Linked DNA regions of Sus scrofa. Each later gene encodes a partner of the first gene's protein in a complex. Links are inferred from orthologs where the notes say so. Each region holds a gene or a part of one and is shown in the gene's direction. Other genes may lie near its edges. The genes, in order: ERC1 and PPFIBP1.

Region 1 (3,816 bases):
TAGCCGGTTATGAAGGATGCCGTAGAAATTTTCATTGGCCTGTGAAGTGGTTGGGGAAGAACTGACACCTTTACAGTGTTTGTCTTTTCATCCTTGAACATGGATAACTTTCCTTTTGTTCAGGAAAGTTTTATGGTTTTTTTACAAAAATTATTGAACATTTTTGTTAGATTGATATCAAAGTGTTTTTATGGTTTTGTTGCTATTTAAAAAATGCATTTTCTAATTATTATTACTGATGTACAGGAAAGTATTGATATTTATGTATTGGTCTGTACCTAAGCAGTTGGTTGAGTTCTGTTATTGGTTCTAATAACTCGTCAGTTGATGATGTTGGGTTTTCCAGTTAGAAAATCGTATATTCACACATTGACTATTTTTTTCTTTTCCTTGCTAATCTTTATACCTCTTATTTCTTTTTCTTTTCCATTTGCTTGGTTTGGTTTCAATATTCAGTTTTGAGACATGGTGGATGTTTTTAGAGTGATGTTTACTGAGAAATAAGTTGTGCTCTGAACAAATGCATGAGTAAACATGATTAAAGGGGAGCTATTCCTCAAGTGGGGTCAGTTAAAAGTGTCTGAGAAGGGAAATGTTTCTTATTGGAGGAGTTAATGTGTGATCTTTTCATTGCAGATAATGGCGTAAGCTATTTCTTCAAGATTGGACAGCTGAGGACCTGTTATTTCTGATTAGCCTTAAGCGGACTTACAGCCATAGAGAAACCTCAGAGAGTTCCATATTTTGGTTTTGCTTTACACTTGTCCTGGCACCTGAATTCACTTGCAACCATGTATGGAAGTGCTCGCTCAGTTGGGAAGGTGGAATCAAGCAACCAGAGCCCTGGGCGTTCACCTAGGCTTCCACGTTCCCCTCGCTTGGGTCATCGTCGAACCAATAGTACAGGAGGGAGTTCTGGAAGCAGTGTCGGAGGTGGCAGTGGGAAAACCCTTTCAATGGAGAATATTCAATCCTTGAATGCTGCCTATGCCACTTCTGGCCCTATGTACCTAAGTGACCATGAAAATGTGGGTTCAGAAACACCTAAAAGCACCATGACACTTGGCCGATCTGGAGGACGTCTGCCTTATGGTGTGAGGATGACTGCCATGGGCAGTAGCCCCAATATAGCGAGCAGTGGGGTTGCTAGTGACACTATCGCATTTGGAGAGCATCACCTCCCTCCTGTGAGCATGGCATCTACCGTTCCTCACTCTCTTCGTCAGGCAAGAGATAATACAATCATGGATCTTCAGACACAGCTGAAGGAAGTATTAAGAGAGAATGATCTCTTGCGAAAGGATGTAGAAGTAAAGGAGAGCAAATTAAGTTCTTCAATGAATAGCATCAAGACCTTCTGGAGCCCAGAGCTGAAGAAAGAACGAGCCCTGAGAAAAGATGAAGCTTCCAAAATCACTATTTGGAAGGAACAGTATAGAGTTGTGCAGGAGGAAAACCAGGTTGGTTTTATATGTGTTTGCCTTTACGTGCTCTGAATAAGTGAAACTGAATTCATGTGTGTAAATGAAATGAGCTATTCTTTTTCTTTTCTTTCTGAGGTTTTTCCCTTCTTGGCTCATTTATTTTCCTTTTTCCTGTTATTCTTAGTATTTTATGTTCTCTGTGTCTCAGCCTTTTCCAAATTGGTTCTGTGCCTTAATTGTTTTCTGGTTGCTCACCATACTTGCATTTCTTTTCCCTAGCTTCTCTTTCTCTTCTTTTCCTTCAGCATATATTACCTTTTTGAAATCTTGTGAGAATGTAATTTTCCTACATGCTCTAAGGTCTGTCGTCAAAATTATTCAGGCTGTGGAATTCCCGTCATGGCTCAGCGGCAATGAAGCTGACCAGCATCCATGAGGACACAGGTTCGATCCCTGGCCTTGCTCAGTGGGTTAGGGATCCGGCATGGTATAGGTCGCAGATGCAGCTCAGATCCTTAGTTGCTGTGGCTATGTTGTAGTCAGGCTCCGATTGGACCCCTGGCCTGGGAACCTGCATGTGCCTCGGGTGTGGCCCTAAAAAGACAAAAAAAAAAAAAATTATTCAGGCTATGTAATTTAAGTGTGCGGTGTAGTATTAAGATTTACCTTTGTAAATATTTTAAAAAATCTTAAACTATCACAAGGCAGATTCATATGTTGACAGTATAGAATGGATATTAGTTAAAAGTTAATATTAATGGTGTAAATATGTATTAAGTACCAAAAATGAGTAGCAGTTCTTTCACATTTATGAAGTTTAACTTCAGGATCCTTTTTTTTTTTTTCTTTTTTAAGAATTTTTTATTTCTTCAAATTTAAGGATTTAGGGTGGAAGAAAGGCAACTTGGTGTGATTGATTATATGTAAAATATAAAGTGGATTTTGGTAGGAGTTGAATGTTAAATTGAGGTTATTAAATTCATCATTGGATTAAGTAGCCTCCAAAGTACCTTTGTGATGCTGCTGAAAATATTCCTATCACCAGGATGGTTTTTATTATCAAGCAACTTGGAAATATTCATTTTAATGAGGAAAAAAATACTGGCTTCTTTATTTTCAAGTAATTCAGGCAGCTAATTATGCCTATACTTTAAAAGATCTGTGAATAAAAAGCAATGGCAATAACCTCTCTAATTACCAAGCTACATTCAAAGGCAAAATATTGGAGTCTTCTGTAAAGACTATGGTGGGGACTCAGCAGTTCAATCCAGGGGAAGGGAAACAGTCCGCAGGGCTATGATGCCAAAAAACCATATGCACTGAGGGAGGGTGAACACTGCTTTATCTAGATTCCGCCCCTTGCCCTAATTAAATACTAGTGCTGGCAGGAATAGATGCTTCCTGCACCCACTGTAATTACCACACAATCCTAAAATTGTATCACTTTGGTCCAAAAAACGAAGGGTGCAATTTTAAAGCAAAGTGAAACACTGCAATGAGATATAGAGAACTGAGAATGCTAATTAATAGATTATAGTGAGCCAGCAGTGGGCCCTAATTAAACTCTGCATTCATTACACCCTCCACAGCCCTCAGAGGTCAGACATTTTCCACTTTACAGAGAAGATTGGTTTAATAGGATTTACAGTAATTAAACAAATTTCCCCATTTCAGTTTGAGATCGGGGATTTAGATACATTCTAAATGTTTGATTTGATTGGACCATAGAGATCTTGTCTAGAATCCTATCAAATGAAAAATACACCTGTGCTTAGAATGTCTAATGTGCCTGATTCATTATTATGAAGTCCTTTTAGAAGATTCTTTCTAAAATAAATATCCATCTATTTTTATGTTTCATACTACTTTTGTTACTGAACTTTCAAATACTGGTGGTTGGAGAAATGGAACAATATATGTTTTAGCAGGTAAGGTCTTTTTTTTTTTTTTTTTTTTTTGAAACTGACAATGGGGAGGGCTATTTTTTAAATTTTTTTCTTTTTCCAGGTCTGTACACATGGCATATGGAAGTTCCCAGGCTAGGGGTTGAATCTGAGCTACAGCTGCCAGCCTACACCACAGCCACAGTCACAGCAAGTCAAGATCCAAGTGCATCTGTGATAGCTCACGAAATGGAATGCCAGATCCTTAACCCACTGAGCGGACCAGAGAAAGAGTCCTCATGGATACTAGTAGAGTTTGTTACCTGCTGAGCCACAACAGGAACTCTGGTGGAAGGCTTTTGATGTGTTTACTTGATGAATAAAAATCCAGCTATGAACTTGGTTGAATTGCAAAGCTAAGGCTTTGAATGGTTTATATTTTTGATTTTATTTTAACCAGCATCAAATGAGATATTGTACTTTTTTTATTATGCCTCATAATATTTTTT
Region 2 (3,916 bases), about 22 Mb from region 1:
AAATGAACCTGGGTTTCAACCCCAGTCCTGGGTGTTCTGGAGCAATTTACTTACCTAAGCTTGCTGAGCCTTGGATTCCTTTAGGTTAAAATGAGGCTAATGACACTCACTTTACAGGATGGATGTGAAGATTGAAGTGAGACACAATGGTGGACTCTCTGCCTCCCTTCTACAATTTTTGGCAGGATGGTGAAATGTATGACGTGTCATCCATCAAAAAAACAAACAATAAAATCCAACAGGAAACCAATAATTCATTCATTGTAATTCCAGAAGATGATGGATAATATATCTATATATCATGTAAAGAGGGCCACTTTTCACCATTTAGTCCTGCCTTGCAAGCAGTTATTAGGCAAACTGAAAGACCCATTTCCTGGGAATCTTTCTGTTTTGTTGGCCGGGAGTATTATACTGCCTGATAGCTGTCAGCGTAAACGTTAGTTAATTCTTAATTGATTCCTCAGCCACTGCAATTGGTTCCATTCAACAGTAATTATTCTCCTGTGGCTTGCTGAACTCAATTGTGAGGTTCCCCCACCCCCATCCCCCTTCAATTGTGCATGGAAACAGCAGCCTTAAGATCTTTAAAAAGGTAAATAGTAATTGTTCTTCAGAGGTTCAATTTTATTTGCCTGGAAGCTCGTGTGCTGGGTTTCCATCGCTAAAAGCAAAAGCCGCCGCATGGTGGATAACACCCCCGGTTAACAACCCAGAGCTGGGTCGCGGTTTCTAGGATTCTCCTTCACATCTTCCCGAAGTGCTTTTGAAGTTCTAAATTTCCCGTCTAAGGGAACGCCCAGCCGTCCCAAGATAAAAGGGTTAGCAGAGGGAGCTGGCGTTTTCCTTTATTTGCCTGACTTCAAGCTAGCCATTTTCTGCTCCACGCGCCGCCGGACTCGGACTTGCCCGTGACACAGAGGCGACTGTTTTTCCTTCAAAAGGGGGCTTGGGTGGGTTAGTTTCGTTTCCGACCTGGGAGAGGGTAAATGCGCCAAGAAAAGTTTAAAACGCCACCCGCAAGGATCTTCCTCGTACCATTATTCTCCCTCCCTTAGAGATAGCAGGAAAGGCAGCATTTTTTTTCCATCAACACCCACTTCCAGCCCTTGCCGGGCTCAGCGAGGAATGTGTAAAATTAGTGGGCTCCTCTGACTGACAGCCCGCGGGCCCAATCAGCGCGAGCGGGGGCGCGCCAACGCCCCCCCGGCGTCCTCTCTTTGGCTAATTTCTGCGGGGAGGGAGGCGGGCGGGCGGGCGCGAGGGAGGGGAGGTACCTGGAACTGGGAGTGATGTCAGCTCCCAGCTCGGTGCCTGCCCGGATTCCTGACATGGTGTAGGGCCGAGAGGGTGGGGAAGGCGGGAGCCGGCCGGGAGAGGACTCGGAGTGGCCAGACTGCCGTGGGGGCAGAGGGCCGGCGCTTTGAACTCCGAGCGAAGGTGAACCAGAACTTTTGCAACTCGTGCGGGCGGCTCTCCTCCCCCAGGTAAGGGCGTTTGTCCTCTCTTGGGGACCGGCAAGCAGTGGCACCGTTGTGTGGTTGTAGCTGCTCCTCCTTTTCCCCACTCGATTTCCTTTTCCAGCTCACTCCTCTCTCCCAGCTCACTCCTCTCTCCCAGTGGGAACCCACACTTTTTGCGGGGTGCGGTAGGGCTTAACAACTGGGGCTCTCAACTAGTTTGTATGGGAAAAATACCTCCGGAATTCGACATGTAAAATCTTGACTGTGTCCTTAAACCCCCCACACCCTAGTCTTCTAATAATACTTGAGAACCCCGATCAGAGGAGTGGTGTGTGTGTGTGTGTGTGTGTGTGTGTGTGTGTGTGTGTGTGTGTGTGTGTGTAGGGGTGTTCTTTTAAAATGTCACTAAAAGTTTATGAAATATGGACTCAAACATTATGCTCTTTGAGAGAGGAGAAAAGTTTTGTATTTTTTTGGTTCTCCTGTGGCCTATTATGCGTTGCTTTAAATGAAAGACTGTCATTGTTATGTTTATATATTCTTACATAATAACATAAAAAATCCTTTTCCATAGTCAAGATTTGAGGAATTCATTTGGGGTGTGGGAAATTCATTGAGCCTGTGGGAAAACCGGTCTCTTGGGGGCACACTTCAACGCCAACTCGTTTTCATTCTTACATTTTAGCGGAGAATCCCATGGCTTGCCAACTTTGTGATCTGGAGGGGTTAGGAAGGCTGCCGAGAACCTTTGGATCTGTCTTCTGTGGATTGCTTGAGAGAAAGATGAGGGCTGGTAGTTGTTTTCATGGATCCTTTTTAGAGAAGGGAGTTTTTACAGGGAAATGTGGCAGAAGGCGTGGCATACAAACTCTTAATTATAGGAACATGAATTTTCCAACATGTGGGACCAAAACAAATCCTTCCTTTCAATAAGAAGTGCAGAGAGCAATAGATGAAGAACCTGATTGAGTGTCTAAGTTTGGTATTTAGGGAAAGCAATGGCCTGTCGAGAGCTAAAGGGTATTTTGACAAGTGGAAGTGTAGAATTCTGATTTTTGCTTATTTGTGGTTTCAAACCCTTTCTATTTCTTGCTTGGAGATTTTGTGTGCCCAGGTCCTACAGTTGTTTTCTGGTGAAAAAAATTAACTCCATAAACTGATTCAGGATCCTCACTCATCATCGCTGAAGGCTCTTTCTTTTGGAGAAGGAAAGAGAGTGTCTGCGCTGAGACTCCTGAGTCAGGTTTCCCTTTGCTTTTACCAGAGTTCCTCAGCAGTGAGGAGCCTTCTGTTGCCAGGTTGGGAGGAAACTGTGGACTTCACTGTGAATCAAAAGCTGCACCTCAGGTGCCTGAACCAAAGGGCATTTCCCCGACAGGAGGAAAGAAAGAAGCCACCAAATTGCACCTGATAACCCAAGTTGGCAAGTGTGGAGATGCAAGACTTCATACATGAGGTTCTCTGTCTTTCTAACCAGGTGACAGTTAAGTTTCAGGGCAAGAAAGAAGTGTGTTTTTTTTTTTTGTTTTGTTTTGTTTTTGCTGTTGTTTATAAAACACCTGGATCTGTATTGTTGTTCTCGAAAATTTAATTAGCACAAGGTGGATAGAGATCAGGCTTTTTGCAAAGGGAAGGTGTGCTTGACTGGAAAGGCCAGAACATTTTCATTTCGATGTGTGTTTTGGACTAAGAAACAGAAATTGTCTCATGTCTCTGAAATAACGGTGACCAAATCGTTTCTATTTATATTCTGTAGGAAGGACATAAATCATGCTGTGTTTTCCAATGTACTTTTTCAGCAGGAAAGAGCAAGAGGTGAGGTAGAATTTTTGTGGGCTGGTGAGAGTTCACTGGAGCCTAAAACCAGTCAGGTAGTATCTCAAGGATGTTATCCTGATGAGCCAAGTTCAAATTTATTTATACTCCTTTTCAAGAAACGAGTCCTGGCTTAGGGACTTGAATATATCAAAGTTTTACATTTCATTCACACTTTTGAATAGTAACAGTAATTTTATATACTTGGTTTAACCAGTATTTTTCTTGCTCCCTCTGTGTGTAGAAGGAAGATGTGATATATAGTAAAACACAGTTCTTTCAAAGGAGAAAGTTTGAGGGAGTTCGCTGGTGGTCTGGTGGTTAGCACTTGATGTTTTCACTGCTGTGGCGTGGGATCAATCCCTGGTCTGGGAACTGAGATGCCATATCAAGCCACTGCGTGCCATAGCCAAAAGAAGGGACAAAACTAGAACAATGTTTGAGTTATTGAGAAAGGTAGGATCAGGTTTTGGTTAAATTCTTTGACCAGCAGCTATCATAGTTGCGATAGTTATTTAAAATAGGAGAATCTGGCCTTTATGGACAGATGTTGACTTGACATTCAGTGCACAGTGTAGTTACAGATTAATAGTGCCTAATTTCAAGGGCATTGTAGGCATTTTTTGGAAACAAGTTCA

Evidence for each region.
Region 2: ERC1 (region 1) and PPFIBP1 share a complex: the UniProt entries of both Homo sapiens proteins name them as parts of the cortical microtubule stabilization complex. The link is inferred for Sus scrofa from reciprocal best matches to the Homo sapiens genes ERC1 and PPFIBP1.

Annotation. Positions count from the first base shown.
Region 1 is NC_010447.5:68,251,242-68,255,057, forward strand, and holds part of ERC1 (ELKS/Rab6-interacting/CAST family member 1), read left to right. Parts: intron 1-636; 5' UTR 637-791; coding exon 792-1,460; intron 1,461-3,816. UniProt on the Homo sapiens protein: Regulatory subunit of the IKK complex. Probably recruits IkappaBalpha/NFKBIA to the complex. May be involved in the organization of the cytomatrix at the nerve terminals active zone (CAZ) which regulates neurotransmitter release.
Region 2 is NC_010447.5:46,220,244-46,224,159, reverse strand, and holds the start of PPFIBP1 (liprin-beta-1), read left to right. Parts: upstream 1-1,280; 5' UTR 1,281-1,487; intron 1,488-3,916. UniProt on the Homo sapiens protein: May regulate the disassembly of focal adhesions. Did not bind receptor-like tyrosine phosphatases type 2A.